4 linked regions of the Lonchura striata genome follow. The protein of the gene in region 4 purifies or fractionates together with the protein of the main gene of each other region. This does not show direct contact. Links are inferred from orthologs where the notes say so. Each region holds a gene or a part of one and is shown on either strand. Other genes may lie near its edges.

What was found.
Region 1: the proteins of EP300 (region 4) and CHD4 purify together in Homo sapiens (affinity purification with western blotting; 4 studies listed by BioGRID, with this or other methods). This does not show direct contact. The link is inferred for Lonchura striata from reciprocal best matches to the Homo sapiens genes EP300 and CHD4.
Region 2: the proteins of EP300 (region 4) and SOX9 purify together in Homo sapiens (affinity purification with western blotting; 3 studies listed by BioGRID). This does not show direct contact. The link is inferred for Lonchura striata from reciprocal best matches to the Homo sapiens genes EP300 and SOX9.
Region 3: the proteins of EP300 (region 4) and MCM3 purify together in Homo sapiens (affinity purification with mass spectrometry; 3 studies listed by BioGRID and IntAct, with this or other methods). This does not show direct contact. The link is inferred for Lonchura striata from reciprocal best matches to the Homo sapiens genes EP300 and MCM3.

The regions. Positions count from the first base shown.
Region 1 is NC_134604.1:29,474,613-29,482,266, reverse strand, and holds the start of CHD4 (chromodomain-helicase-DNA-binding protein 4), read left to right. Parts: upstream 1-4,644; 5' UTR 4,645-4,713; intron 4,714-5,222; exon of another isoform or gene 5,223-5,237; intron 5,238-5,494; 5' UTR 5,495-5,569; intron 5,570-6,384; 5' UTR 6,385-6,453; coding exon 6,454-6,550; intron 6,551-7,654. UniProt on the Homo sapiens protein: ATP-dependent chromatin-remodeling factor that binds and distorts nucleosomal DNA. Acts as a component of the histone deacetylase NuRD complex which participates in the remodeling of chromatin.
Region 2 is NC_134621.1:10,674,895-10,682,357, forward strand, and holds the start of SOX9 (transcription factor SOX-9), read left to right. Parts: upstream 1-4,449; 5' UTR 4,450-4,839; coding exon 4,840-5,270; intron 5,271-6,089; coding exon 6,090-6,343; intron 6,344-6,659; coding exon 6,660-7,387; 3' UTR 7,388-7,463. UniProt on the Homo sapiens protein: Transcription factor that plays a key role in chondrocytes differentiation and skeletal development.
Region 3 is NC_134605.1:110,349,678-110,356,715, reverse strand, and holds the start of MCM3 (DNA replication licensing factor MCM3), read left to right. Parts: upstream 1-4,031; 5' UTR 4,032-4,252; coding exon 4,253-4,333; intron 4,334-4,788; coding exon 4,789-4,901; intron 4,902-5,457; coding exon 5,458-5,666; intron 5,667-6,216; coding exon 6,217-6,347; intron 6,348-6,538; coding exon 6,539-6,777; intron 6,778-7,038. UniProt on the Homo sapiens protein: Acts as a component of the MCM2-7 complex (MCM complex) which is the replicative helicase essential for 'once per cell cycle' DNA replication initiation and elongation in eukaryotic cells.
Region 4 is NC_134607.1:24,936,517-24,943,566, forward strand, and holds the start of EP300 (histone acetyltransferase p300), read left to right. Parts: upstream 1-4,031; 5' UTR 4,032-5,351; coding exon 5,352-5,445; intron 5,446-7,050. UniProt on the Homo sapiens protein: Functions as a histone acetyltransferase and regulates transcription via chromatin remodeling. Acetylates all four core histones in nucleosomes. Histone acetylation gives an epigenetic tag for transcriptional activation.

The sequences.
Region 1 (7,654 bases), on a different chromosome or scaffold from region 4:
AAAAAAAAAAAAAAGTGAAAATAAACGTGGAAAATTCGAATCTGACTATCTGATGTCTGGCAAAGTTCTGAGTAACTGAAAACAGACTTGTGATGGAAAATATCGAGTAACCTTAGCTATAGGTGTCAGTACCAAGTATGTGATGTTTTTTAAAGCAAACAAACCAGCGAAGCGCACACAGATAGAGATCAGCCGTTCTGATTTCCAGGGGGCTGAGCAACCCCCAATCCTCTCTGTCTCTCCCCCACCACAGTTGTGTGCAGCCAGCGCTGCCTGCTGCACCGTGCACATCTGGCTGACACGGTGCGGCACGGCCACGCTGCTCTCCCTGCCCCCTCCTTCTCCTGGCAAAACAGGAGACGAGGCTCATGACGAGTGCCGAGCGAAGTCTGAAATGCTCTTCCCCTAACGGGAAGTAGACGCAGAGTCACGCTGGCGTATGGGCAGCCCTCACCTAGGTGGCTGTTTAGAGAGTCGATCCTCCATTGACAGTAGGATGTTCTCAGAAAAGGAGCACATGTTCTTGACCTTATTCTGGTTGTATGCTCCAAAATCCTCTGTGTGCAAGTCTCTATCTGTCTCTTGTTCCAGTGGCATTTGTCTACTGAAGGAGCAGCTCCTTGGACACGACAGGAAGGGCTGTCTTCTCTCCACAAGATGAAGAGACTTTCCTGTGTCATTTTCTGACAAAGTAAAAATACTTCCATTGGGTTAAACAAGTAAGCTCATGCTTTTCTTTGAAAAAGACCTCACTCAAACTAAATAAGGGGGGAAAAATAGAAGGGGGTGCATGATGAAGAAAACAACAATGAAAATTGGTCATTTAGATTTCCTTAGCTTGCCATGGAGACTTTGTAGAAAGCTGGGAGTGGATAAGTGTATCCTGGGCAGAGGAAAAAGCTTTTGTAGTGTTGGGGGAGACTTGCAGAATCCAGAACATTTACTTTGGCTATTGCTGGGGATACAGAATTCTCACAAGATAGTTTAAAATGGGGGCAGGGAGACTTGGTTGTTGAAGAGACACAGATTCTGGGACAATACTCAGATACTGAATGAAAGTTTGAACCTTTTCCTTGCTAATTCCAAAGTAAAAATTACCTATCTCAGAGTTCGATACCCACTCTCCACTCAAAAAAATTATCTAGGGCAAAATTCTCTGCTTTACCAAAGAGAAAATAAAGGGCAAGGCTTCTCAGAAATGCTGGGATCTTCAGGGTTCCTTTGCAGAAGTGGCAAAACCTTAGTTCAGTCATGGCAAGCCTCAGTATGATCTGGAAAGCTTACAGGGCTGCTGAGTGGCAGACATGAGAAGTAAGACCATCCATATTAGATACAAACAGTCAAAACTAGGTTAAAGGAAGAGGTGAAATGTAGCTGCAGCCTTTTCAGAACAGCACCACATTCACAGGTACATCGGGGGCTGCCAGTTTTACGCAGACACTGAAAGATATTTTTCATGTTACTGGTTGTATGTAACTTGACAGTAGAGATATTACAGACTGGCTGGAGCAACCCTCAGTCTGAAAAACAGCAAAAATGAAGAGAACAGAAGTATGGCTGTGTCCCAGCACACAAATGAAGCAATACAGTGGCAGCATTGCGGTGCCCAACATCTAAACCCATCAACCCGTCTGAATTGTTATGGAACGCAAGAGGAACTGACAAAAAATAGCCTGAAAGACCATAAACCGATCTTTCAGATCACATTGTCTGCAGCACCAGCATGGCAAGCTTGTAGTCTGTTATCTGTGTCCCACATACGAACGGTCCATGCTAGGCTGGAGAGTCTCCCCCTTTCCAAAATGCTCTGGGGTTCCTTCCTCCCTTGCGTCCACACTGAGCAGCACTGAAATACACAGGACTGAATTTTCCAGCCTACAACCCTGAGTTCCAGAGTGAAACAATGTAAAAAGCTTTGTTCTTCTTGTTACCTTGGGGAAAGATGTTTAAAAGGGAACATAAATGAAAAGTGAAAGTGAGAAAGGGCTGTGGGCCTGGTAAAAGCCTGGACAGGGGCAGCTGCCCACAAGGTAGAGGAGGATGGGGCAGGACTCTTCTGGGTCTCGTGCAGGGACCTGAACCCTGACTAACTTAGACCACACAAAATGACAGACATTATTTAGAGGTCACCCCAGCTTGTTGCTGGGAGCGCAGAGTACAGAGTCCACTTTACCCAGTTCTTGGAAGCAGAGCTGGGCAGGGGTGTGTGGAAGGTCCTCTGGCCAGTTTGGGTTTCCCAACACGGGCGCAACACCAAAGCAAGATGTTGCAGGCATTTTCCCCATGGGAAGTATGCTGGGGGGTTGTTTTGGGGTGTTGACACCCATCAGCACAGGTAGGGTAAGATTGAATTACACAGATCTTACTGTAATTGTTTCCAAGCCAAGTGCTATAAACTCAAAAGATTCAATTAAACTGGGTAAGTAATTGAACCACAGTAAGGTATGGCAACTTCCAAGTTTAAAGCAGCCAAATAACTGGAAATCTATCTCATGGAAATCTATCCTTTCCTCATCAAAGGAAAATATTTAGAAATATATATATATTTAATCCATTTAATTTACTTGGCCCTCACAAACAGTAGAAACATCTTGATCATAATCATGTATATCCCATATGGAGTTTTTGTTTTGAGGGAAAATTAAGATTTCTGCTGACTAAGAAACTTCAAGTTAAAAAGGAAAAAAGGAGTTGGAGCTGAGGTGGGGAACCTTGGGTACACTTGGGATAAAAATGTACTAATTTGTCATGCAGAGAAAGATTTCAGGGAGGTGGTGGCTCATTGGGAATGAGCCTTCGGAGGCACTGGGGCACACATTGCCTAAAACCATTAGCAAACAGCCTTCTTCAGACCATAACCATGCTGGCAGGAGCCTTGGGAATCACCTGCAGAGAGCCCCAGCACCTGACTCCCTTTGCAGGATCTTCATCTTCATCTGCATCACACCTCTCCCCTTGTGGCCAAGCCACTGGGGAAAGAGGCAAATATGGAATTCATGGGCACTGGTCGGTGCTGGGCTGCTCAGCTCGGGAATTTGTCTGTCTGCCTGGCTCCTGTTAAGAGGGGATTGTGTCAGCACACACAAGAGGGAATGAGAAGTCCTTGCAGAGATCCGTGTGAGTTTGGTGGTGGTGTCGTCCACCACACGTTTCTGTAGCGCTGGATGGTCTGCTTGATCTATGCGAAGGATGGAGCATCTCTGGAAGAGCAGTGTGCTCTTTCCTACCACTTTTCCTCCATGGAGCTGAGATAAATGAGAGCATCATTGTCATGTGGGCAAAGGTATGTACAGGGATAGTACAGGGTGCGTGCTGCTGATGGCTGGAGAGGTAGGTGGGATTTTTGTATGTGCAGGAACATGGATTACACAACAGCCTGTTGGGATGTATTGGTCTAGTCTTTGCTGAGAGGCGGGAACAAGGGCACGGGAGGCGCAACTCGTGCTGTGGAGTGGCTGCACACGTACTGTGCATTGTGGAACTCTGCGGGAGCACTCAGTGGAGATGGGCACATGGATGTGGTGGTGGAGCCTGGTGGTATCTCAGCAGAGTTGCCAGTGCGAGGCGGTGGTCGGAGCCTTCATGCGCAGGTAAGGGAGAGCTTGCCAATAGCCAGAGCCACTTCGGCACACGGCCGAGGGGATGGGATGGCGTTATGGAACACCTGTGTGCGTGGATGTATTTTCAGTGAGCTTTAGCAGACAAAGCCCGGCTTGTGTTGCAGGATCTGTAAGCGACTTGTTGCTGTCTGTAAACAGCCAATCCTCCTCTTGTGTTGCGGCGTGTTTCGCTGTGGCGGGACGAAACGTGCACATGCACCACCAGGCGTGGGACAGCGGAGGCAACGAGCGCAGTTGTTGACACCCACACATTTTACTGGGAGAGACGGACAGGACTGCACCTCTTTGTTGAGATTAATAGTGCTATGAAAATGCTCAGCGGAGGATAAGGCGGCATTATGGGATGTGATTTTGTTTAATGGGAAATTAATGATACAGTTGCATGTGTATAATTGGAGTATACTTACACCGAGGGACCGTTCCCGTCTGTGCAAATCTATGCGTTTCCTGGTGGAGGCTGCAGCAGGGAGCAGGGTGCTGGGTGACAGGGAGGAATGCGGTACATGGACATGGCGTGTATCACAGAATCACAGGATCAGTTAGGTTGGAAAAGACCTCTGAGATCATCAAGTCCAACCTTTGGCCAGACACCACCATGGCGCTAAGTGCCACATCCAGCCTTTTCTTAAACAGCTCTGGGGATGGTGACTCCACCATTTCCCTGGCAGTCCATTCCAATGCCTGATCACCCTTTCCATGAAGAAATTCCTCCTGATGCCCAACCTAAGCCTCCCCTGGCACCGCCTGAGACTACGTGCTCTCGTCCTGTCTCTAGTTGCCTGGGAGAATGCGGATCTCTGGGGTAGGGAGTTCTGCAGGTACCAGCAGCCAGGAAGCCTCGGGGTGCAGGGGAGGCACCCAAGTCACTGCGGGCTCCCCGCACACAGGCTGGCGGTGGCGGTGACCGCCGGGCACGGATGGCCTTGGAGGGGTCCTGCGGCCTGGCGGGCGGAGCGTGCGGGCTGGGGCACGGCAGGACGTGGCAGGGAAGCGAGCGGGGCGCTCAGCCCCGAGGTCGGGGGCGGTCGGCGGTGGGAGGGCGGTGCCCGGAGCCTGTGCCCGGGGCCGGTGCCAGCGCGCAGGAGGGCGGGAGGTGCGCGGCGGCCGCGCGGTGCCAGGGGTCGGCCCCGTGCCCCGTGCCGGAGCGGGGGCTGGGGCGGCGCGGGCCCCGCGGTGCCGGCAGGGCGGGCGGGGGGCGGCGGCGGAGCCCCGCGGGTGCGGGAGCGGGGCGGGCGGCCGCGAGTATTATGGGATGCCGGGCTGGACGGTGACTCCCGGCGACTATTATGGGATGCCTGCCTGGGCGCGAGGCGGGGGGGGGGGGGGGGGGGTGAGGGGGGAGGTGTGACTATTATGGGATGTGCGCGCTCGGGGTGTGACTATTATGGGATGTTCCGGGGGGGGGGTCCCCACAGCGCGCGCTCCCCGCCGGAGGGGGGACGCGCCTATTATGGGATGGCAGCCCCGGGAGGCGCGGGGGGGCGCCGTGCCCCGGGGTCCCGCGCGGGGCGGGGGGCAGCACTGTGGGATGTTCCTCGGCGGGGGGCAGCACTATGGGATGCGGAGCGGAGGGGTGCGAGCCTGCGGGAGTATTATGGGATGTTTCTCGGGGTGAAGGTGCGGGCGGGGGGGGGCGGCAGTATTATGGGATGTTACCGGCGGGAGGGGTGGCGATTATTATGGGATGCCGGGCCGGGCAGTGAGTGGGAAGTTCTGAGGGGAGGGTGAGTATTATGGGATGCCGGGGGGGGGGGGGAAGGGGGGGTGTGTTTGCCGGGGAGACGGGGGCGGGGCCTGTTGCCGGGGTCCTGGGGCATATTATGGGATGTAGGCGGGAGGGGGCGGGGCCTAGCCGGGTTTTTTTCCCCTTTAAGAGGCGGTGCCGCGGCCGGAGCCATTTTCCCTTCAGCGGCGGCAGCGGCGAGAGAGGAGCCGGGGTCCGGAGCCGGGTGAGGAGCCGGGAGGGAACGAGGGCGGGCGAGGCCATCTGCCGCCTCCTGGGGCGTCCGGGCCGGCAGACGCGTCTCGCCGCCGGCCGCCCCGCCGGCTCCGGCCGCGGCTTCCCCGGTTACGCGCCGTTCCCCTGCCCGGGCGGCCGCAGCACGGCTCCGGCCCCTCCTCCCGCCCCGCAGCCGCCTCGCCGGTGCCCGCAGTCCCGGCCTGCGCCGGCCCCGGGGCACGGCGGCCCCTCGCCGCACGCCCGCCGGACTTGCCCGGCCCCGCCCCGCGCCCCCGCCCGGGAGACGGTGCCCCCCGCCCCCGCCCTGCGCCGCGCGGCCCCGCTCCGGGCGGGGGCGGCGAGCGGGGCGCCGAGCCCGCCCGGCCTTTTGTGTGCGGCCGGGCCGGCGCTGCGGTGCCAGCCCGGGGCTGCCGGCCAGCGCTCCGCGCTGACAGCCGCCGCGCTGCCCCCGGGGCTCCCTCGCGAGCCCGGCTGCCTTGCTTGCCCCTCTGCCCGCTCCTGGCTCAAGGCAGAAACAACCGAGGGCACCCGGCTGCAGAGGACGGGAGAGTTTTCCTTTAGGACAGCTATTTTGGCTTCCTCGCCAGCGATGAGTTGCTGACTCAGTTTAATATCTAGTGTCTCCAAAGCCTGCTTTATCACAACTCTAAACTGATACTTGCTGCCAGTGATTCTGTTATCCATAGGCTCCAAAGCCAGTAAAGTTGCTGTCTAAGCTTTCTCACAGATCCTCTTAGTTGCACTATTGCTCGGGAGAACGGAGTTCAGGTTTGCTGTAACTTTCTCTTTTTCTTTTCAATGAAGTACTGGCCAGGCTGGCAAGAAGACGACAGAAAACCTGTGTAAGCCCAGGCCTCCCGCGGTGTGGAGGACATGGCTTCGGGCATTGGATCTCCATCACCGTGCTCAGGGGGCAGTGATGATGATGAGATGGAGATCCTGTTGAACAACGCTATCCCCCAGCATCCAGGTATGGGGGGGCCTGCAGGGCATGCATGTGCAGTGGGGATAATGTTGGTCTCAAGCTGAATATGTGAAGTGTGTGATGTGTTGGGGAATGCAATTTTTTTTAAATTTTTTTTTTGTTGCAAGTCACACGTATGTTTTTGATTTCTGAGTCCCAGGGTTACTTTGAAGTGAGAGGCTCGAGGCTTTGTGTCAGGTGGAGCTGACTTTGTTCCAAGCCATTGCAGGCTGTCAGGGCCTGTGCTTGGAGGAGGTGTAGAGGGTGGAGGCAGAGCGTCCAATTCTGACCGGGGTACCAAAATGCTTTCAGTTTTCATGAATGGGGAGGGGGTAGAGGAGGTAGTATGTGAAAGGGCAGGTTGCCTGGCTTGCTTTCATCTGGGAACTAAGACCGGCTGACGTCCAGAGAAAACTGCCCTGGGCTGTTGCGTGACCCACTTTCCTTCATCACCACACCCAATTATTGAGGATTCTTACTCCGTGCTGCTTGCTCACCTTTGCTTTTTTTTAGTCCTTGTATTTTGCTTTTCCCCTTGTATTTGCATCCTCATCATCAACATGAGGCTTGAGTTAGAGCCCTGGAATTTCTTCTGGTTTGCGTTTTTTTTCTTGTTGCTGCTATTGATGACCTGCTCTGTGGACATGCATCTGGATTCTTCACTTCCTTGTGAAAAAGGAGTGATGTATATAGTCAATTGTAGGACAAGTGTGGGATTTCCTACTAACTCATGCTGGAGTGTTTTGTCATATATGAGAAATGTAACTGGAGGAGGGAAGATGGTGCTGTGGAGTTTTGAATTTTTATTAGTTTGGCATTTTTTTCTTAAGCCTTGTCTCTTGAGTTTTCCAGCACCTCTGAGATCTTGGGCAGTATGGGACTATCAGTAGTGAAAATCTATTTGCAAAAAAACTGGTAAAATCACTGCAAAATTGAGAGGTTGAGGGAGACCTTGGAAGGGGTGGGTCATTAGAGGCTCTAAATCAGAACTTGGGGGAGAAGGTGTGTGATCCTTGAAGGACCTGGTGTTGCAGTATCACGGGAGCAAAGATACATCCATTGGTTGGGAATATGGCAGGGATCAGGCGTGGGACTCCAGGTTCTGAGACC
Region 2 (7,463 bases), on a different chromosome or scaffold from region 4:
TCCTGCCCTGATCTCCTGTTTTATTCCACTGGATCAGCTGGAATCGGAAATGGGATCGAGGAACTCCACACCAACCCCGTGTCCTGGGATCCCACCAACGCCCAGAGCACAAATTCCACCCCTGCACCGGGAATATTTGGGACAGAGGGAAATCCGTGGCATTTTCCACCTGCAATGGCACAATGTGGGATCCCTGGGAAAAGGGGAAAAATCAAGGAAAAGCTGAAATTCCTGGGAAAACCAAGGACAGGCTGAGCCTGCCCTGCTCACAGTAGAGAGGGAAAAGCCAAAATGTGGGAATATTTCTGGGAATGCAGCCCCGCTCTCGGATTTAATAAAATGTCACTGATGAGGAGGGGGATTTTTAATTTTTATATTAATTAAGCTGCAATTAACAGAGCTGAACCAGCCCTGTGTCTGAAAACGCCGGAGCAAACATTCCTGGATAAATCGCACCTGGAATTTCACTTTTTGGGCCATGGATCAATAATTGATCCAGTTTTGATATCAAAAGTCAGAGTTCGCTGCAGGAGGAGGTTTTAGGGAATTGCTCCAGCCCGAAGGCTCCCGGTTTTCCCTCAGTGCACCCCGGAGCAGGGGACGTTTCCCAGGATCTGCAGCTTCTCCCTGGATTTCTGCCCCACCGGGGGTGGCAGGGCAGGGGCACCGCGGGCCTGGGTGAGCCCCGAGGGGACACGGTGACATCACAGCATCCCTGGGGACACATTCCCAACCCCAAATCCTGGGGGTCAGAGAGAGCCTGAACCTTCCCAACCCCAAATCCTGAACCTTCCCAACCCCAAATCCTGAACCTTACCAACCCCAACCCCAAATCCTGAACCTTCCCAACAGCAACCCCAAATCCTGAACCTTCCCAACCCCAAACCCTGAACCTTCCCAACAGCAACCCCAAATCCTGAACCTTCCCAACCCCAAATCCTGAACCTTACCAACCCCAACCCCAAATCCTGACCCTTCCCAGCCCCAACCCCAAATCCTGAACCTTCTCAATCCCAAATCCTGAACCTTCCCAATCCCAACCCCAAATCCTGAACCTTCCCAACCCCAAATCCTGAACCTTCCCAATCCCAACCCCAAATCCTGAACCTTCCCAATCCCAACCCCAAATCCTGACCCTTCCCAGCCCCAACCCCAAATCCTGAACCTTCTCAATCCCAATTCCAAATCCTGAGCCTTCCCAACCCCAAACCCTGAACCTTCCCAACAGCAACCCCAAATCCTGAACCTTCCCAACAACAACCCCAAATCCTGAACCTTCCCAACCCCAAATCCTGAGCCTTCCCAACCCCAACCCCAAATCCTGAACCTCCCCAAGACCAACCCCAAATCCTGGGGCTTGGAGTAGAGTTCAAACCTTCCCAACCCCAGCCCCAAATCCCAGGGATTGGAGCAGAACCTTCCCAGCAGCAACCCCAAATCCTGAACCTTCCCAATACCAATCCCAAATCCTGAACCTTCCCAACACCAACCCCAAATCCCGGGAATCAGATCAGAGCCTGAACCTTCCCAACACCAATCCCAAATCCCAGGGCTCAGAGCAGAGCCTGAACCTCCCCAGCATCAAAGGGGCTCCCCCAAAAATCCACAAAACAGCTTCTGAAGCACAACTCATCTGAAGCACAACCATATTTTAAATATGGACAGAAAAACCTCCCCAAATCCACCCTCCGGGTCTGTTCCCTCCGCTCCCAAAATTCCCGTCTCCTCCACTCCCTGCACTAACACTTGGAAAGGTTATTCCCTAAAAAACAGGGATTTGATTTAGCACAAGGAGCAGGAAAAGCCCATCAAACGGGGGCTTTAATCCTCACTAAAAACCTGCCCTGAGCTGGATAAAACAATGTTAATTCCAGAAAAAAAGGAAAGGAAAACTTCCATCCTGACGGGAAAGCAGCAGCAGCAGCAGCTTTCAGAGGCAGCTTGCACCCGGCTGTGATTAATCAGCTTGTCCACCTTGTCCAAATAGTCCATCGAGCAATAATTAAAAATAATAAGCCAGAAATTATCAAATCACACACAATAACTGCAGAGCTCCTTCCCCTTTCGCTTTTGTTTATTGTTCAAACTTGTCAAGCCCCTCGCCTCGCTCCGAGCAGCCGAGCAGGGAAGGCAGAGCCCCTTCCAGCAGATGGATTTGCAGGATGAAAAATGTCCTAATTCTGATCCTTTCCACTCAATCCATGACCCTCCCGAATTGTCCCGCTGTTGTTTCTGCCAATCAGCAGCAGGGTCAGGGGACAATCCGTTGTCACCGGGTTTTGCTCCTCTCCAGGTACATTTTGTTCAGATTTTGTTCTGAGATCAGAACAATCTCCTGCCTGCGTTCGCTTGGATGTTCTGCGACAAAATATATTTACTAAATGAGATTTGGGGAGCTAAACTCCAGCATGCACCACCCTAAGAGCTGAGATTACCCAGGGAAAACAATCCAAATTATCACCTGTAATATTTGCTGAAAGTTTACCTTTTTCGCCCCAAACAACAACGCAAAATTCAGCGGCCTTCTCCTGGAATATTGGATATTTAGCAAAGGAAAGAAATACAACTCTGGGAAGAGTCCTCGGTGTTTCAGGAATAAAAAAGCCCCAAATTCCCCTGGAGAAAAGCCCCGCTGTGCTCGCAGTGCCCCTGTTCCTGCAGACAAAGGCTCTGGAGCAGAGCACAGCCACTTACCTTTAAACTCACCCAGAGCAAAACTACTTCCCAAAAAAGTTTGCAAGTGCAAAAAAAAAAAAAAAAAAAAAAAAGTGAAAACCAACCCAAAATCATCACCAGAACCTCAGGGAAAACTAAAACAACCAAGGAGAGGGTTTTGAGTGCGTTTATTCCCAGCTCCTTCCCCACTGCCTTTTCCTTTTCTTTACATTTTATATATATTTCTTTTTTATTCTTTTTTTATTATTATTTTTTCACATGCCCTTTCCAATACCTTGAAACCCCCGTGGTCAGGGTGACGACGACAATCGCGACAGGGCACGGAGGCGGCCGCTGCCCCCAGGATTGTCCGGCCGCACAAAGGCTGCAAATGAAAGCAGCAAATGAAAGCGGCTTCCAGAAAGCCCCAACTTTAACGCTCGAGTTGCACTGAAAAATTCTGGGCTCCGGCTTTGGGAAAGGAGCGGAGCTCGGAGGTTTCTGCCCCCGAAAGGCGCTGAGAGCACAAGGAAGGAGGTTGGGAAGGGGTGCAGCTTTTTGGGCAGCTCCCACCAAATCCCCTTCTCCTGGAGCCTGAAAATCCAGGACCTTTCTCGCCCACCGGGATGGGGATCGCAGTGCCAGCCCCGGGTTCGTTCGGAGCCGCTCCGGGAGCCGCTCCGGCTGCAAACGGGACTCCGGTAAAGCCCGGGATGTTTCTGTGAAGGGAAAGAGCCGCAGTTACCCACAGATAACCCCGGGCCGCTCTGCGTTCAGACACTGATCAACTCGGCCAAACTTTTATTTTTGTGGAGAGGGGGAGGGAAGAGGCCGCTCCTTCCCCGGGCACGGCTCCAGGCCGGGATGCGGGACCGGGATCGGGAACCGGGATGGGGAACCAGGATGCGGCACCGGGATGCGGGATCGGGATGCGGGACAGGGATGAGGAACTGGGATGAGGAACCGAGATGGGGGGAACCGGGATCTGGGATTAGGATGAGGGATCAGGATGAAGAACCGGGATGCGGGACCGCGATGGGGAACGGGGATGATGGTCCAGCAGCCCGATCCGGCGCAGGGAAAGCCGCGCCGGGGCCAGCGGGATGGGGAATAACCATAAAAAGAGGAATAAACGGGGAACGCGCGGATGTCGCAGCACGGGGTGGGCGGAGGGACGCGCCGGACACCCCATCCAAAAAGCAAAAAGAATAAAGAAAAAAAAAAAAGTAAAAAGTTTTAAAAGGAGAAGAAGCGAAAGCGCAGCGGCGACTTTGGGGTGCCCGGGGCCGCAGCCCCCGGGGCCGGCCCCGCTCGGTGCCCGCGGTCCCGGGGGCGCGCCCGGCCCGGCCCGGCCCCGCCGCCCCCCGCGCGCCGTTCCTGAGCCTCTGGCGCCCCCTCGGGACGGAGCCGCGCAGCGCCCGCGGCCCCGGCGCGCTCCGCTCCGCGCGTCCCGCCCGCCGCCAGCGCGGCCGCAGCGGCCCCGCCGGGCCCATCGGCGGGGAGTCCCTCGGCCGCCCGCGGGGAGCCGCGGGGCGCCGCCGGCCGCTGTCGCCGCTGTCGCCGCTGTCGCCGCCGCCGCCGCCGCTGTCGCCGCCGCCGCCGCCGCCCGTCCCGTCCCGCCCCGGCCGGGCCGCGCCCCCCGCGCCGCGCGGCCCCGCCCCCTCCCGCGCGGCTCAGCCAATGGGGGCGGAGCGGCCCCCGCGGGCCGCGCGGTGATTGGGCGGCGCGGGCGGCGCGCGGCCCCGCGCCGGGTATTTGTGCGCGCGGCGCGCGGCGGGCGCAGAGCCGCGCTGGAGACCGGCGGGGCCGCCGCGCCCGACTCTGCCCCGGCCGCTCGCCCCGCGCCCCGTCCTGCGCTCCTCCTGCTCCCCGCCTCGCCAAAGCTTCTCCCTGTCCTCGCTTCGGAGTTTTTTGGTCTTCTTACTTTTCGTTAATTTTTTTTTTTTTTTTGGCGTTTTTGTGCTGAGGAGAAGTAATAAAAAGTTTTTGGTTTGTTGTTTTTTTCTTTTTGCGAACTTCTCGCTGTTCTTCTCCCTCCTCTCCGCCGCCGGTGGAGACTTTGTTTCTCCGAGTTTTTACTTTTTTTTAACCCGTCCCTGCCCCTTAGCGCCTAACTTTTTTATATTTTCGATTATTAATTTTTTTTTTTTCGCCCCCTCGTTCCCCCCTCGGCCACTTTCTCGCATGAATCTCCTCGACCCTTTCATGAAAATGACAGAAGAACAGGACAAATGTATCTCCGACGCCCCCAGCCCCACCATGTCGGATGACTCCGCCGGGTCCCCCTGCCCCTCTGGATCCGGCTCGGACACGGAGAACACCAGACCCCAAGAGAACACCTTCCCCAAGGGGGACCCGGACCTGAAGAAGGAGAACGACGAGGACAAGTTCCCGGTGTGCATCCGGGAGGCGGTGAGCCAGGTGCTGAAGGGCTACGACTGGACCCTGGTGCCGATGCCGGTGCGGGTGAACGGCTCCAGCAAGAACAAGCCGCACGTCAAGAGACCCATGAACGCCTTCATGGTGTGGGCGCAGGCGGCCCGCAGGAAGCTGGCGGACCAGTACCCGCACCTGCACAACGCCGAGCTCAGCAAGACCCTGGGCAAGCTCTGGAGGTGAGTGCGGGGCCGGGATGCCCGCGGGGAGCGGGGGATGCGCAGCGCGCTGCGCCCGGGGAGAGGATGTGGAAAACGCGCTGGAAAACTTCTGCGGGGTGCAAAACTTGTTTAGGTCGGGGAGAAGCCAGAATAGGAGCGGGGGAAAGTAGGGAAAGTCGTTCGCCTTGTGGCGTTGGAAGTGGTTTCTGTTCCCGGAGCGGGCGGACGGTGCGGAGCCCCCCGGGCTGCCCCGGCCGCTGTTTGTTTGCGCTGCCGGTGCGGAGGAAATGATGGATTTTGGGGATTGCATCAGCTCGGGCCGGGCCGGAGGGAGCGCGGGGCGATGCGGGGAGGGAGGGAGGGAGGGAGGGAGGCGGCGGTGAGTGGCGCAGGGCCGGGTGGCCTCCGAGTGCCAGAATAAGGCGGGGAAGGGAGGAAAACACGAGGCAAGTGAGTCACCTGGGCCACCGCGTCCTCGGGGACTGCGCGGGGGCCGGGGGACCCTACAGCGGTGACTCGGCGAGGAAAGCTGGCCCTGGCACGCTGGGATGTCCCCAAAGCGCCCGGGGACAGCGGGATGTGCCCACAGCGTGGGGAGGGCTGGACCCCGCTGCAGCTCTGCTCTGGTACCGAAGGGATCTGGGCGACAAGAGGGTGGCAACCGCGGAGTGCCGGGGACAAAGGGGTGACAGCCAGCGAGTGTCCCGGGCAGGGGGTTCAAGTTGTGGGGGGCTGTGCATCGCTCTTGGGGGGATGCGAGGGAGGGATCGGCACCGGTGTCACTGCCCGGCGCCCCCCTGAGCCACGAGTGACCCCGCGCCCCCCGTGTCCCCCCAGGCTGCTGAACGAGAGCGAGAAGCGCCCGTTCGTGGAGGAGGCCGAGCGGCTGCGGGTGCAGCACAAGAAGGACCACCCCGACTACAAGTACCAGCCCCGGCGGAGGAAGTCGGTGAAGAACGGGCAGGCGGAGCAGGAGGAGGGCGCGGAGCAGACCCACATCTCCCCTAACGCCATCTTCAAGGCGCTGCAGGCAGACTCGCCGCAGTCCTCCTCCAGCATCAGCGAGGTGCACTCGCCCGGGGAGCACTCGGGTAGGTACCCGCGGAGCCTGCGGGGGGCACGGCGCGGCTGCCGAAGCCGCAGCCCAAACCGGGCTGAAGTTGGGGTTGGGCGAGGGGAGGGAAAGCAGAGAGCCAGGAAGGGAGTGAGAAGGGGGAGAAGTACCCGCGAGCTGCGCCCAGAGCCTGGGCACACGGATCTCACCCCAGCGTGCCACTGCGGCCACGTCCCCGTGTTTTGCCCGTGGGAAACGCAAACCCACGCCTTTTAAAGCCCGCTGGGACACCTGGAGGCGCGTGTGCCCCGGCCACCGCTGCCACACCTTCACCCCTCTCCTTCCTCCCCCAGGCCAGTCCCAGGGGCCCCCCACGCCGCCCACCACGCCCAAGACGGACCCGCAGCCGGGCAAGCAGGACCTGAAGCGGGAGGGCCGGGCGCTGGGCGAGGGCGGCCGGCAGCCGCCGCACATCGACTTCCGCGACGTGGACATCGGCGAGCTGAGCAGCGACGTCATCTCCAACATCGAGACCTTCGACGTCAACGAGTTCGACCAGTACCTGCCACCCAACGGGCACCCCGGCCAGGTCAGCTACACGGGCAGCTACGGCATCAGCGGCGCCGCGGGCACGCCGGCCGGAGTCTGGATGTCCAAGCAGCAGCCGCCAGCGCTGAGCGCCGAGCAGGGCCAGCAGCAGCAGCAGCAGCAGCAAAGGACGCACATCAAGACGGAGCAGCTGAGCCCCAGCCACTACAGCGAGCAGCAGCAGCACTCCCCGCAGCAGCAGCAGCAGCAGCAGGTGAGCTACAGCTCCTTCAACCTGCAGCACTACGGCTCGTCCTACCCCAGCATCAGCCGCGCGCAGTACGAGTACGGCGAGCACCAGGGCTCCTCGGGCTCCTACTACAGCCACGCCGGGCAGGGCAGCGGGCTCTACTCCACCTTCAGCTACATGAGCCCCACGCAGCGCCCCATGTACACCCCCATCGCCGACACGGCGGGGGTGCCCTCCATCCCCCAGACCCACAGCCCGCAGCACTGGGAGCAGCCCGTCTACACGCAGCTCACCCGGCCCTAAGAGGGAGGAGGGCGTGACAAAAAAATTTAAAAAAAAAAAAATTAAAAAAAATAATAAAAAAAGGGCAGGAAAGTGA
Region 3 (7,038 bases), on a different chromosome or scaffold from region 4:
GGTTGGGTTGCCCCCTTCCTGACCTTTGTTGTTGATTCAGCCACTCCTCTGGTTTTATTTGAAATTCAGTTGTCCTTATGCCCGCAGGCAGGGCCTGTGTGGGTTTGTTTTGGTTTTCTATTAATTGCTGTATTTTCCTCCTGCACAGCAGGAAAACAGAATGAACACCCACGGGATCTGGGGTAGCTGTACATCAGGAGCAGGATCACAAGATTTTATGTTCCCATCACTGTGTTAGGAGCATGCTAGAGGCATCTGGGAGGAAAAACAGATCCATATGCTCTGGGCTCCTACTCTGGGAAGAAAGAAGGTGGTTACAGCCCATCCAAACACACTGAAGGTCAGAGCTTTAACTCCTTACCCACTTTCCTGTGCTCTCCTGGTCAGATACCAGCAGCTCCCTGTGCCTTTCAGTAAAGAAATTCTATTTACACACCCTGATAGTAGTTTTCCATGTTTTCTTCTCCACAATTAGGAAAAAAACCCAAGAGCTAGAACCGTTTAAAGATTTACCAGAGTGTGTGGGAATAGCAAATATTTAAAGAAAATTATGTCAGAAATGCCTGAGCTGGGTGAAGATGCAAAGGGGTGAAATTCTCCAGCCTATGTAAGGGAAAAGGTCAGGAGAGAAGATTAAGAAGGGCCCCTTCAGCATTAAATTATTTGTGAGGAGAGTCAGGACAACACTCTGCTTTTGAGAGAGAATTCATGCCCCGGTTAGGGTTCAGCTCCTGCAACTGTAGCTTCAGGAGAGCCCAGTAAATATAAATCCCTTTAATCCCTTGGAAAATGCAAAATTTACCCTGATAAAGACATCTCATAGGTGGTCTCCCTTCTCCACATAATTTCAGTTCTAAAAAGTGACTTTTTTCCATTCCAAACATTGCATTCTGTGTTATTATCTTTCTATTTATAACAAATAGATTTGCAGCTTCCACTCCAGTGTGTTGCTTGATGATCAGGTGACACTCCATCAAATTTGGGATATTCTCCTCCCATTTTTGGAGCTACAAATGAACCACAAGCCTCTCTCCTGCCCTTCATGGGTGAGGCAAGGCTACTCACTTCCTACAAGGAAAGCGAATAGATGGCAACTTGATAGTTGAGCTGTGGCTTGAAAAGTGACATTTAGTTAAACTAAGAGGAAAAAAAACCCAACAAACAAACTAAAAACAACAGCAGCAAAAACAAAACCCCACAACGTCCCAGAATCTCAGAAGGATCACAGGGTACCATTAAACCTCAGAAACCGAGTCATGTGGATGCTGACACACAGAGGTGTGAGGAAGGGATGGGAAAATCCCTTAAAGTGCTCCGTGTGCAATTCACCCATGGATGCTCCTGCATCCACCCTTGAGCTTTCTGTTTCTCTGCAAGCCCTCCAGACCTGGCCCTCTGCGTGCTAAGTGCTTAATTCCTGTTTATTTTTTCCAGTGGATAGGAAGTGCTAAACGTCCCTGTGAGCTTGCGCTGCCTTTCCACCCTGTAACCTCCGGAATGCAGCAGGGAGGTGAACCCAGGGGGACCTTGGGCACAATCCTGGGGAGTCCCAAAAGCCAGGGAAGGCTTCTTGCTTCTTCCCAGCCTTCTCCCCCTCTCTCCATCCCTCTGTCCTCCTCGGCCTGCCCTGCTCCATGAATTATTCAGGCACGCAGCAGTTGCTATAGGGCAGGGCGCTGTCATGAATAACAACAGCGGCTATTTTTATCCCTAACTCCTGTTACCTTTCAGGCAGGAGCGGTGGGGCCCTGCCAGCTCCTGGCAGGAGGAAAAGTGCAGCCATCCACGTCTCTGCAGGCTGGGATTCGTTTTGACCATCCAAATGTGGGTGAGATCTTGTGTATTCTGCATAGATGTGCCTGAATCCCACCCTGGTACCCGCTCTGTGCTCTACTCACGGGGTGCTTTGCACCCATATTTTATTTTTTCCACCCATATTTTATCTGCAGCAGAGCATGCAGACTGTCCATTGCTGGATTTAATATTCTGCCTGCTGCAGAGGGAGAAAAAGCGTCTTAGAGGGGAAATCTTGCAGTGGATTCTGGCAGTTTATATGGGATAAATCACATTTCCTTTATGGGCTTACACAGATTCCTCCAGCCAGTTTAGATTCTCAGCAGATGATTTGCCCATTAAAAAAAAAGTAAAATATAAAGTAGAAATAGAAATAGATAGAGATAGAAATAATATAAAGAAATAGAAATAGAAATAGAAAAAGAAATAATAGAAATAGAAAGTGCCAGGGGCACGCCAAAGGTTTTCTCTGTTCATTCTTTGTGCTTTCTCCACTCAGGAAAACAAGAAATGTCCAGCAAATCAGAGGGAAGGGGTGGATTTGAGGAGGAGCTGGAGGGAAATGGGTCCTGCTGAGTGTGCAGAAACAGGGAAAATATTCCAGCCGCAGGGAACATATCTGGAGCTAGCAGGGCAACCTGGAAGATTAAAAAAAAATAAAAAAAAAAGAAAAATGGAAAGGAAAAAGAAAATAAATTGAAATAAAAAGGGAAAGGAAAAATAAAAGAAGAAAAGGGGACAAGGAAGAAAACAGCAGCAGAGCATAAAATCCTTTATTTCTGCCAAACTGAATACTGCAACAAATTATTCCAGAGCAGGGCTAAAAGGTCTAAAAAGGAGGTCTGAACTTTGTGGAAAAAAAAAAAAAATTAAAAAAAAAAAAAATAAAAAAAATCTCTCAGGAACAAGACAAATACCCTGGACGTGGACTGCACGTATCCCAGACCAGAGTTGCCAGACGTTTCCAGTGAGTGATCTGATCCACACAAACAGAAAATGGGAAACGGGGCAAAGGCTGTTTCCTGCTCCTCTTCTGAAACACCGATCGATCGCAGCTGCTCCCTCTGGAGAGGAGGGATCTGGCAGCGGGAATTCTGTGCCTCAGCCCAGCACACCCCGGGGTGAATATTTATTCCCAGGATTACTCTGGAAAAACTGCTGTGAGCCACAATATCCAGGGGACACCGCCAAGTTTGTGTGCCTGGTATGCCTTGCTGATCAAAACAGTTTTGTCATGCTTTTTATTCTTTTCCTGTTTTTAAAGAGGAGTTTAGATAAAGATTTTTAAGGGATACTGCAGTGGTTATTTTAAGGAGGAGCTGCAGGTTTCCCTGTAGGCAGAGGCACCTTTGATTCCTGCCTACAATAGGAATTCCTCACTCCTCTTAGGAGATTTAAAGGAGGCTTGGAAAAAAGAGGGAAAGGGAGTTTTTACACAAGCAGATAGTGATAGGACAAGGGAGACTGGTTTTTAACTTGCCAGAGGCCAGGGTTAAGTGGAATATTGGGGAAGAAAATCCTTCCCTGTGAGGGTGGGGAGGCCCTGGCACAGGGTGCCCAGAGAAGCTGTGGCTGCCTCTGGAAGTGTCCAAGGCCAGGTTGGACGGGGCTTGGATCAGCTTGGGATAGTGGAAGGTGTCCCTGCCCACGGCAGGGGTTTGGAATAATTTGCACTTTAAGGTCCCTTCCAACCCCAAAAATTCTGAGATTCTAAGACACATCCAAAATCGTCTTTTCCATTCCAAATACCACAAGACCTGTCCATTTTGGGTGTTTATCCCCAGACTGCTGGAGGCACACCGGGGCCACGTTAAAGGAAAAAGCAACACCCACCCAGCCTGTAGGGGTTGAAAACACCCGGAAACAGAGCTCACCAAAATACAACATAAAAAACAAAATCCTAAATTAGTTTTTAATTAGTTTTTATTGGACTTTTCTTGGTTTGAGATTATATCTGGGTGGGTTTGTTGTTTTCGTGTTTGCTTTTTAATTTTTTTTTTTCCTCCTAAAGCGGCATTTTCAGTCCCTCGGCGACTTCCAAGAGCCGGAGCCGGGATCAAACCCCATCCCCGGTACCCCTGGCCCCGCCCCCTGCCCCGCCCCCGCGCGTTGATAAGCTAAGCGTACTGTCTATCACTGTTTCGCCACCCCATTGGCTAGCGGTGGGAGATGCCGACCAATCAGCAGCGCCAAGGGGCGGGACGGGGGCGGGTTTCCCGCGCGGTGGCGGGAAAGGAGCCGCGTTTGGCGCGAAACGGGAGCGCGGCGGGGGCGGATCGCCGGGGCCGGATCGCATCGCGGGGCCAACCCGGCTTCCCCCGTCTCCTCTCGGCTCCTCTCGGCTTCCCCCGGCTTCCCCCGGCTCCTCTCGGCTCCTCTCGGCTTCCCCCGGCTCCCCTCGGCGCTCACTGCCTTCCCCGGCAGCGGCGGAGGGATCCGTCCCAGGGCGGCCGGCAGAATGGCGGCGCCGGCGGGCGGGCTGGAGGATGCGGAGCTGCGGGAGGCGCAGCGCGATTACCTCGATTTCCTGGACGATGAGGTGAGACGAGCTGGGAGGCGCGGGTGCTGCGTCCCCTGCATGCCCCCGGGGTTGGGGAACACCTGATCCGTGTCCCCATGTCCCCTTCTCCCTGTATCCCCGGGGATTGGGGAGCATCTCATCCCTGTTTGCCCCCGCCCCATGTCTACTCCCGAAGTTGGGGAACACCTGGTCGCTGTTCCCGTCCGTCGCCCCTGATCCATGCCCCCGGGAACTGGGAGCTACCTGATCCTCCCCGCCATGTACCCCAGGGGGTTGGGAGCCCCTGGTTCCTGTGTCCCCCCATTGCTACCGGCTTTAGGGAGCACCTGGTCCCTGTGTTGCCCCTTCCTGCTTGCCGGTGGGATGAAGGGGATCCAGCTCTGCAGGAATGGGCTTCTGAGGGGTTTTTCACACAGGCGGACATGCAAAGTGAGTTGATTTTTGGGTGTGTTTCACTCCACTCCCACTTGTAGGAAGACCAAGGGATTTACCAGAGCAAGGTCCGGGACATGATCAGTGACAACCAGTATCGGCTCATCGTCAACATCAACGACCTGCGGCGCAAGAACGAGAAGAGAGCCAGCAGGTGGGTGTGGGGCAGCTGGGACACTGTGCTTGTGAGGTGTTTCAGAGGTCCAGCCCTGGTTCTGCAGGTCATTTGTCACAAGAAAGCACCAGACCTTGTCCTCTGGTGAAAGCCAGGGTTTCCCCAGCCTCACAAGGAACAATTCCTTTTCAATATCCCATCTATTCCTTCCCTCTGGAAGCATGAAGCCATTACCCCTTGTCCTCTCCTTCCATTCCTTTGTCCCAAATCCCTGTCCAGCTGTCTTGGAGTCCCTTTAGGCACTGAAAGGGGCTCTAAGGTCTTCTCCAGGCTGACCAACCCCACTTCTCTCAGCCCTTTTGAGGATGCTCAAGAATATATTGGACTAGCCTGGTCAATCTGGCTTTTCAGATATTCTTGGAATCTTTCTCCTATTTGCTGTTGGTGCCAGTGCACCTTGCACAGAGTTGTGATGGATTTCATGTTTTTTCACCTCCTGCTCCTGGAAAACTTGTCGAGCAAGTGGGGGAGTGGGGAAAAAGTGCTGATGAGGAAGGGGTTGACCCACCTGCTTTGTGACCTCCCTGTGCTGCAGGCTCCTGAGCAATGCCTTCGAGGAGCTGATCGCCTTCCAGCGTGCCCTGAAGGATTTTGTCGCCTCTGTCGATGCCACCTATGCCAAGCAGTACGAGGACTTCTACATCGGGCTGGAGGGCAGCTTTGGCTCCAAGCACGTGTCCCCACGGACACTGACAGCCTGCTTCCTCAGCTGCATCGTCTGCGTGGAGGGCATCGTGACAAAGTGTGAGACTGGGGTGTGGAGGGGCTGGGGGTTTGCTGTGGAGGAGCTGGAGACCTCCAGGAGCTGTGGTGTGGAGAGGGACTTGGGATAAGGATCTGGAGGGACAGGACAAGGGGCAATGGTTTTACTCTGACAGAGGGTAGGATTAAATGGGATACTGGGGAGGAATTCTTGGCTGTGAGCAGGAGGAGGCCCTGGCACAGGTTGTGCAGAGAAGCTGTGGCTGCCCCTGAATCCCTGGAAGTATCCAAGGCTAGGCTGATTGGGATAGTGGGAGGTGTGTTTGCCCATGGCAGGGAATGAAACTGGATGATCTTTAATATTCCTTCCAGTCCAAACCATCCTATGATTCTGTATCCTGGCAGCCTGGGCCAGGGAGCTTGGCTGAAGGTCTTGAATGTTGGGGTGGTCTTTAAAATCAGCCAGTCCTGCCCATATTTGACAGTGAGTTGTGACCCAAGTAATCTTAATGTTGGAGACCCGTTTGGGGGCTGCCTGCTGACAGAGGGGTGGGACATCCCAGCCCCTAACTCCTCTCTTTTCCAACCCCAGGCTCTCTGGTGCGTCCGAAAGTTGTCCGCAGTGTCCATTATTGCCCAGCTACCAAGAAAACAATTGAGCGCCGATACGCAGACATGACCTCCCTGGATGCTTTCCCATCCAGCTCCATCTACCCTACAAAGGTGAGGTGAAGCAGCAGCAGGTTCCTCTAGGGAGGATGTGCCAGCTTCAATATGGAGCTGGTGATCCCCAGCCTCCAGTCCTGCTAAACAACCCTTTCCAGCAGCCTTGTGCAGAGTGGGTGATGCACCCTGTGTCCTCCCTGCTCTTCTGAAAAATGGTGCTCATCTTTTCATTTGGCTTCCTGCTTTAGGATGAAGAGAACAACCCACTGGAGACAGAGTTTGGCCTCTCGGTCTACAAGGACCACCAGACCATCACCATCCAGGAGATGCCTGAGAAGGCCCCGGCGGGGCAGCTGCCACGCTCGGTGGATGTGGTTCTGGACGATGACCTGGTGGACAGGGTGAAGCCTGGGGACCGCATCCAGGTGGTGGGGACATACCGCTGCCTGCCAGGGAAGAAAGGGGGCTACACTTCAGGCACTTTCAGGTGGGTCTTCTGGGGCTTCAGCCCTCTCACCTTGTTTGGCTGGGTCTCTGGAAGGTGAAATCTGGCAGCTGACCACCAGAGAGTTGGGTCAAACAGTGGCTTAAATCACTTGGAAGTGGTTTGCACCTTGATCCTCTTTAGCAGATATGCTGAGTTGGAAAGGATCCACAAGGGCATCAAGTGCAATTCCTGGCCCTGCACAGTTCACCCTAGCAATGCCACCTTGTTCAGCCCTTGCAATGCCACCTTGTCCAAACTCTC
Region 4 (7,050 bases):
TTTCAGAGACACTCGAAGGGCCACAGGGTTGTGGGACAAATCCTGCTGAGGGGAAGCAGGGAAGTTTCATTTGTATAAATTATTTCCTGAGCAGTATTAGGGAGCAGGGGAGGCTGGCTGGGTGAGTTTGAGATGTTACACTGCTTCTCTATCCAGCAGCTGGAAGGGGAAGGCCACAGTCCCAGCTCCCTCTGGGCCGAAGGAGATTATTATTCCTCTGCCTGCTCATCCCACTGAAGCTGGACTGCTGAGCTCTGGGCATCACATTGACCTTTGCAGTACAAAGGGATCTTATCTTGTTCTTTGTAGCCCTCAAAGCAGCTGGGCATGCTTACAAATTTCAGTAACTACCAGCTAAGGCCAAACAAGATCCCACGATAAAACTTCAAGGCTCTGCATTCCTCTCTTATTGCTTTCCTGAGCAGATTCTCATTTTAACTGGACTTATGGTCCTTTCATCCAGTTATCTTAAAGTACATAATGACTACTGTAATTACTGACATTAATGAGCTAATCAATTCTTCTAGGCATTATTTTCAAGGGATAAATATTACTATCCTTGCTGTAAGAATGGGGAAACTGAAGCAAAGAGAAGTTTTTTGATGAATAGGTGTGTTTTACTTTTAATATTATAATATCCTCCTGGTTTTATTTTTATAGGTTTATGCATTTTCTTCTTAGTATGCTTTATGTTGTTATTGCTTTCCAGTAATGTTATCTGTCATGGGTTGTGTGCATGTACCAAGGTTCATTTAAGAAAACTGCAGTGATTTGAGAAAACTTAACAGATATTGAATAGTTTTTTGTCATTGTTTATATATATATATTTGATTTATCATAACCCTACTTTCCTGGCTTTTCCTTTACTTCCTCCTTCTTTTATTTTTGGTGCCTTTTTAAGGAAAATACCACAAATAACATTCTTTTCTATTTATTTTCCATATACTTCAGCTTGCATTTAAATCTCTAATCTGGAAAGCCATCTGAATATGACCTTTTAATGCCTAAAGAACTAAGATATTCTACTGGGTAGGAAGCTTGCAAAGCAGAACTATAGCTTTACTGAAGTATCAGTTAATCACTTATATATATATAATTAATATTCAGAAAACATATGTTGGTTTGGTAGCATTTATGTAAGAGTTTAAGTTTTCCACAGTTCAGGTATGCATCCCTGAACCCTTTTCAAGGATAGACAGACAGGTAGCCAGACCAGAGGGTAAACTGCAACAAAAACAAACAACCAAACAAACACCCAACAAACAAACAACTTTATTTTGTTTGCCAGCACAATTTCAGGTGAACTGAATGGTAGGATCTAGTCTCTAGATAGGAACAAGTGTCTCAAAACTCTTATTTGAAACATTTTATTTGCTCCCAACTTGTTGTTTAGTAAGGGCCTGACTTCTAAAAGCATTTAGGTGTTTATGTGCACTTCAGCATCTTTAAAAAGCCAGCACTAATTCCTTATTGAACTGTAGACTAAGGGTCTCCAGTCTGACAATTTTATATTGACTTATTTCAGTCAACTTCTAATTCTAATGAGACCAAAAAGTTAGTCTCAGCTGTGTTAAAAAATTGCTTCACAAACAAGAGAAACTGTCAATCTGAAAAAAAAGCAACAACAAAAAACCAACCAACCAAACAAAAACCCAAAAAACAAACCTGAGGTAACATAAAATCTCTATAACTGGCATATTTTGGGAAATTTAGAAACAATAAAAGGCAAAAAACCTGTGAAAACCACTAACATAGTTTCTAAGGTGTCACTGTTAAGTTTTAGGCTGTTAGTCCTGACAGCTTTAGTTTTGAGACTTTGAGACTTTTTGCACTACACATTATTTTCCCGAGGCTTATTTGTAGCGGCAAGGCTCTCTCCACCTCTCTTAACGTAGTGCCTATGCATTCAAGAATTTTCAGGAAGCCTAAATCCAATCTTTGGGCATTTTTGGAGTGGTTTGTGTTTTCCTTTTTGCGCTGGGGAAGACAAGAACAATCTTGTTTAAAATAAAACCCAAACAAGGGAAGCTGAAGAGTGGGAGTATGTGAGGGAGCTGGTGAATAACTTACAGGGCTGTGAATCTCCTCCTGCCTGTAGGCTCCTCTTGTAGGCTGCAGTATTGATTCTGTGTTTAGTCTAGGCTCTTCCCAAATACCTGCTGTGGCTCTTACGTGGATTGCAGAGAGCTCGTCCCTGAGGGTGAGCGGCAAGGGAAGTCCTCCTCGCAAATGTCCGGTTTTGGATCAACACCCCCTGATTCTCCATCCAAAACATGCACGTGCCTGCATTTCCCTTCCACTCCTATCTCGTAATGGTGTGCGGCCCGACGGAGTCCAAACGCACCGAAGGGAAATGCCGGGATCGGGCATTTCCTCACGGATGAGCCCTCAGAGATTTGAGGAAAACTCGTGGCCCGTAACCTGTGGGACGGCTCGGGGGCTGAGAGGGCTGGCGGAGGACCGCGCCAGTGTCACCTATGCCTGCGACAGCCCCTCTGATGGGCGGGAGCGCTGTCAGGACTCCGCGGTCCCTCGTACCGTGCCCTGCGCCATCCCCGCCACACGCTGGGGTCCGGCGGAGAGCGCGGGGCTTGTGGGCTTATTTATCCTTTGGCGTTTGGGGATTTTTGTCTGTCTTGTAACGCCGACGGGAGCCTGAGGCAGCTCTGGGCACCCCCGGGATGGGCAGTACAGAGCGCCGCCGGATTAGGAGGAATTTATTCACAGAAAGGGCAGTTAAACATTGGGAGCTGCCCGGGGAGGTGGTGGGGTTTCCGTCTCTAAGGGTGTTTAACGAAAGACTGGATGTGGCACTCAGTGCCATGGTCTGGCTAACATGGTGGTGTTCGGTCACGAGTTGGACTCGATGATTTCAGAGATTTTTTAATCTAATTGATTCTGCGATTGTGTGATTCGCACATCCACTCGCCACTTCGGGGGCCTCGGGGTGCGGCCCCGCTGCCCAGGCCCTTTGCTGGCTGGCCGGGTGCTGCCATGTCTGTGGCGCAGCACGGCCCGGGACCGGCGGCAGGAGGGCCCCGCCCGCCGGCGCCGCGGGGAACCGGCCGGGAGCCGGCGGGCGGGAGGGAAGGAAGGAGGGCAGCGAAAGAACCGCGCTCTTCCCGCCGGCGCCTCAGCCCACCGGGCCGGGCAGCAGGCACCGGGTGGTGCAGCAGCAGACCGGAGCGCCCACAAGGTCCGGCCAGGCTCCCCTGGGCCTACGCCGCGCACTTTTGGGCCGACAGATAAGGCCGTATGGGGCGGGGCAGGAAGAAGGAGCCTTTTTTTTTTTTTTTTTTTAAGGGAAAAACCCTTCGCCTTTAAGGGGCGAGGCCAGCGGAGTTTGCGGAAGAGCCCGGAGAGAGACGAGCGCTGAGTGGGTAAGCGCGGTCTCGTGACGGCGGCTGGGGCGGTGCCACGCCCCCCACCCCGCCGGCGCCCCGCGTTCCATTGTGTGCGCTAACGCCGCCGGGCCCCGCCCCGCCGTGTCCCCGCCCACGGGGCTGACCACGCCCCGGTGGCGGCCCCGCCCCCCGTGTTCTCTTGGCTCATTTCCGGCCGCCGCCGCCACCGCCGCTTCCCTCCGAGGGCTCGGGAGAGCGAAGGAACAACAGCCGCCATTTTGTTTGTGTGTGAGCGACGGAGGGAGGAGAAGGGAGCGAGAGGCCGAGCCGGACGGGGCGAGCCAGGGGGAGGGCAGCGCACAGAGACCCAGGGGCACGGACAGGGGACGGGGAGAGAAGCGAGGAATCCAGACTCCCCTCCCCCCCCCAACCCCAGCCTGCCCGTCCCCTCGCTATTCCTTCTCTTTCTGTTTCCTTTTCTCTCTTCTCCTTTTCCCGGAATTCTCTCTTCCCGCACTGCCCTCCGCCCCCGCTTTGCCCGCTCCGCACACACGCCCCCGGAGCGCCAGGCAGGGGCAGTAGGGAGCCTGCGCTCGGCCCCCGCGCTGCCGCCGTCCCGCCCCGGCCCCCCCCGCGGGGCAGCGCCGGGGACCCCCTCCCCCGCCCGGCCATTCCGGGGCGAATCCCCCGGCCTTCCCCGCCGTGATTTTTCTCCTGTTTTATTATTTTAATTTTACCTCTCGATCCTCTTCTCCGAGGGGTAGCTTGCGCGGCCTCCCCTCCCACCCCGACTTCCAACCTCTTCGCTCCCTTCCCCACCCTCGCAGAGGCGAAGGGGGAGTCCCCACCGCGCCCGAACAACAGCCGAGGGTCTCCTCCCTCGCTCATCGCGCCCTGCATCGCCCGTGGGTCCGGGGGAGCTGGGACGGGCAGCCCCCTCCCTGCCACCATCCTCGGCCGCCCGGGAAGGGGGAAGGTAGGCAGAGAGGGCGGGAGGGGCCGGCTTCTTCTTCCTCCTCCTCCTGCCGCTGCTGTGGGATCGGCCCCTCTGCCTGCGCCGGAGCGGGGGGGCAGCCTGCTACTGCGAACGAGAGAAAGAGGAAGGGGGAAGAAGAGAAAAAGAGGGGGCAGAAGGGGTGTTGAAACCCGCCCCCCACCTTCCCATCCCGCGATCGGTGCTGCCTCCATCAGGACAACAACCCCTCCTCTTTGCCTGCACAACAAGATGTGAAGCGGAGACTCCTGGGACTTATCCTCACCCTCCTCATCCTTACAGCTCCCCTTTCTGCAGCCATTAGCGACGGGCGAGGAAGAAGCGAGTGGAGCTGGGGACCCCGCGCACGCTGTGCCACTCCCCCCCGCCGCCTCCCCCCCAGCCCTGTCGCTGGCGGTGGGTATTTTTTCGCAGGGTGGTGTTGGAGGGGGAAGGAGCCGCTGCTAGAGGACGGTGATCTTTTTTTCTTTTTTCCTCCTCCTCTCCTCTCCTTCGCCCGCCTCCTTGTGGCGATGAGGAGGAGGAGGACGGCGCCGAGGAGGAAGAGGCTGATGGCGGCGGTGAGGAGGCAGCAGGAGGAGGAGACCCCCCGAAGGATGAAGATGATGATGGTGGCGGCGGCGAGGAAGCACCAGCACAACAGCCGGGATTAATTTTACTAAAAAAAAATTAAATATTCACCAGCCTCCATTTTTAATTTTTTTTTCCTTTTTTTTTTTTGGCGGGGGCTTTACCTGCTCTTCCCATCTTCGTTCAGCCCTTTCGCCTGGGGGAAGAGGCCTCACCCCCGCCCGCCCCAGCTCCCACCTCTCCCAGATTCTCTGCTGCCGCCCTCCCAGAGCCCGAGAAGCAGAAAAAGGGGAACTTGGCCCCCCTTCTCCGCCAGATCCTCCTCCTCGCTCTCGGCCTTATTGTTGTTCTTCAGCTGACTCCGGGCCCCAGAAGACCGTGAAGGTTTTGGGGTTCACCCCCCACCTTCTTTCTGCTCTGAGCGATTGTCTAAAAAATTAAAAATGGCCGAGAATGTGGTGGAGCCGGGCCCGCCTTCAGCCAAGCGGCCTAAACTCTCCTCACCGGCGCTCTCCGTGTCCGCCAGCGACGGCACAGGTCAGTCTCGGGGCCCCAGAGCCTCCCCGCTTCTTGGTGCCGCAATTACTGCCCCTTTCTCCCCTGTTTTGCTTAAATCTCCTCCTCCCTTTTGCTGCTGTTAGCTCGAGCCTGCTTTTCTCCTTCCCGTCTGTTTCGCCTGTTCTCGCTCCGTTTGAAGCTATTTGCGTTAATGGCATAGGGAGGGTGTTCGGATGTTTTTGCCCTTCTGGTTTTTTGGAAGTGATTGAGAGCAAAGCTATTCAGTTTATTGTGCTTTTGATCAGCTGCAGATAGGACTTAACAGTTCGTCATTTTCGTGTCTTTCACAATAATAGCTTAGCTCCTTGCTAAGCATAATGCCAGTTGCAGAAATACGAAGTGCTAAAGACGATGCTTTTGTACACTTTATTGTTGGATTACGTGTGTGCGCACAAGTTTCTTGGTTTTGTATTTTATTTTGCATATACGGGGTTCTTCTAGATCTTGTTTAAAAACGAGATTTATTTCTCTTGCTGTTTTTCTTTTTTCTTATATGCAGTCTGCATATATGATTTACTTCTTACAATCCTCCGTTCTTCCTGTAGAAGTGTATCAAAATACTGCTTTTCTGATTCAAATAGACCATCGGCTTTAGGAAAAACAGCTAAAACCAAAATTCAGATGCCATGCTTGTGGCATAAGGTTTATTGAGACTTATCTTCTTAGAGATGAAATTTTATTTCACCTTATTTGCCTTAAGAATCAATATGGAGTGTAGTTAATCTTGCATCTCCTGTTTCTTTGCTGCAAGACCAAAATGTCTGAAATTCCCCTGTAGACTTAAAAGCTGTGAAGAGAAAAGGGGCTTCTCTGCAGTCCTGCCAAGGTCTTTGGTGATGCTGGGAAGGCAAGCTAGGACATGGAAATTTTAGGTGACCCAGTCCCCAGCAAATATTAACTGGTTGTACTGGGAATGGGGAGGAAGTAACAAAGGGCTGTTTTTTAATATTTCTTGCGAAGCAGATGAGTATTTGGTGTCATTTTGCTATGAGAATACTCTGTTACCTGGAGTTTCTTTGAACTCTCATTAGTTCCCATTAGATCACATTAGAAACTATTAACCTATGGGATATGGAGGAGGCCTCCTCCTCCTGCCAGTCTGGTGAGTGGTGGCATTTCTGAAGGCACCCGTGCTCTTGTTCAATGCAGTTAACAACTGGCAAGAAAAGGGAAGAGTTGTTTTCTTGTTGTTGGTTTTTGGGGTCTTTGTTTTGTTTTTTCTGAAAAGAGATTTTAATAGCAGGTCTTTGAGCAGTGGATGTGGTTCTGCTTGGGATCATCTCCAAAATTTTGATTTTGCCTATTCTATTCTCGGTGAATGATGTATTAGTTTTGAAAAGTTTGTGTGTGACTTTTAGTGCATATTAAATACAGCCAATATTATGTTGTAATTGGAGGACATGACTATTCCTAACATTAACAGGTCTCTAGTAAGAGAGTAGAAGAGGGTTGGAGAAGCTACTCTTAAGCGAGAACTAGTTGTTGGCTGTTTTTTTGCTAGATTTGGAAAACAGTGATTAATTCAATAGTAACCGTTTTAAATTTGTCTTGATAGTGGTTATTTTGCTCTGTTTAGAGAGGTGA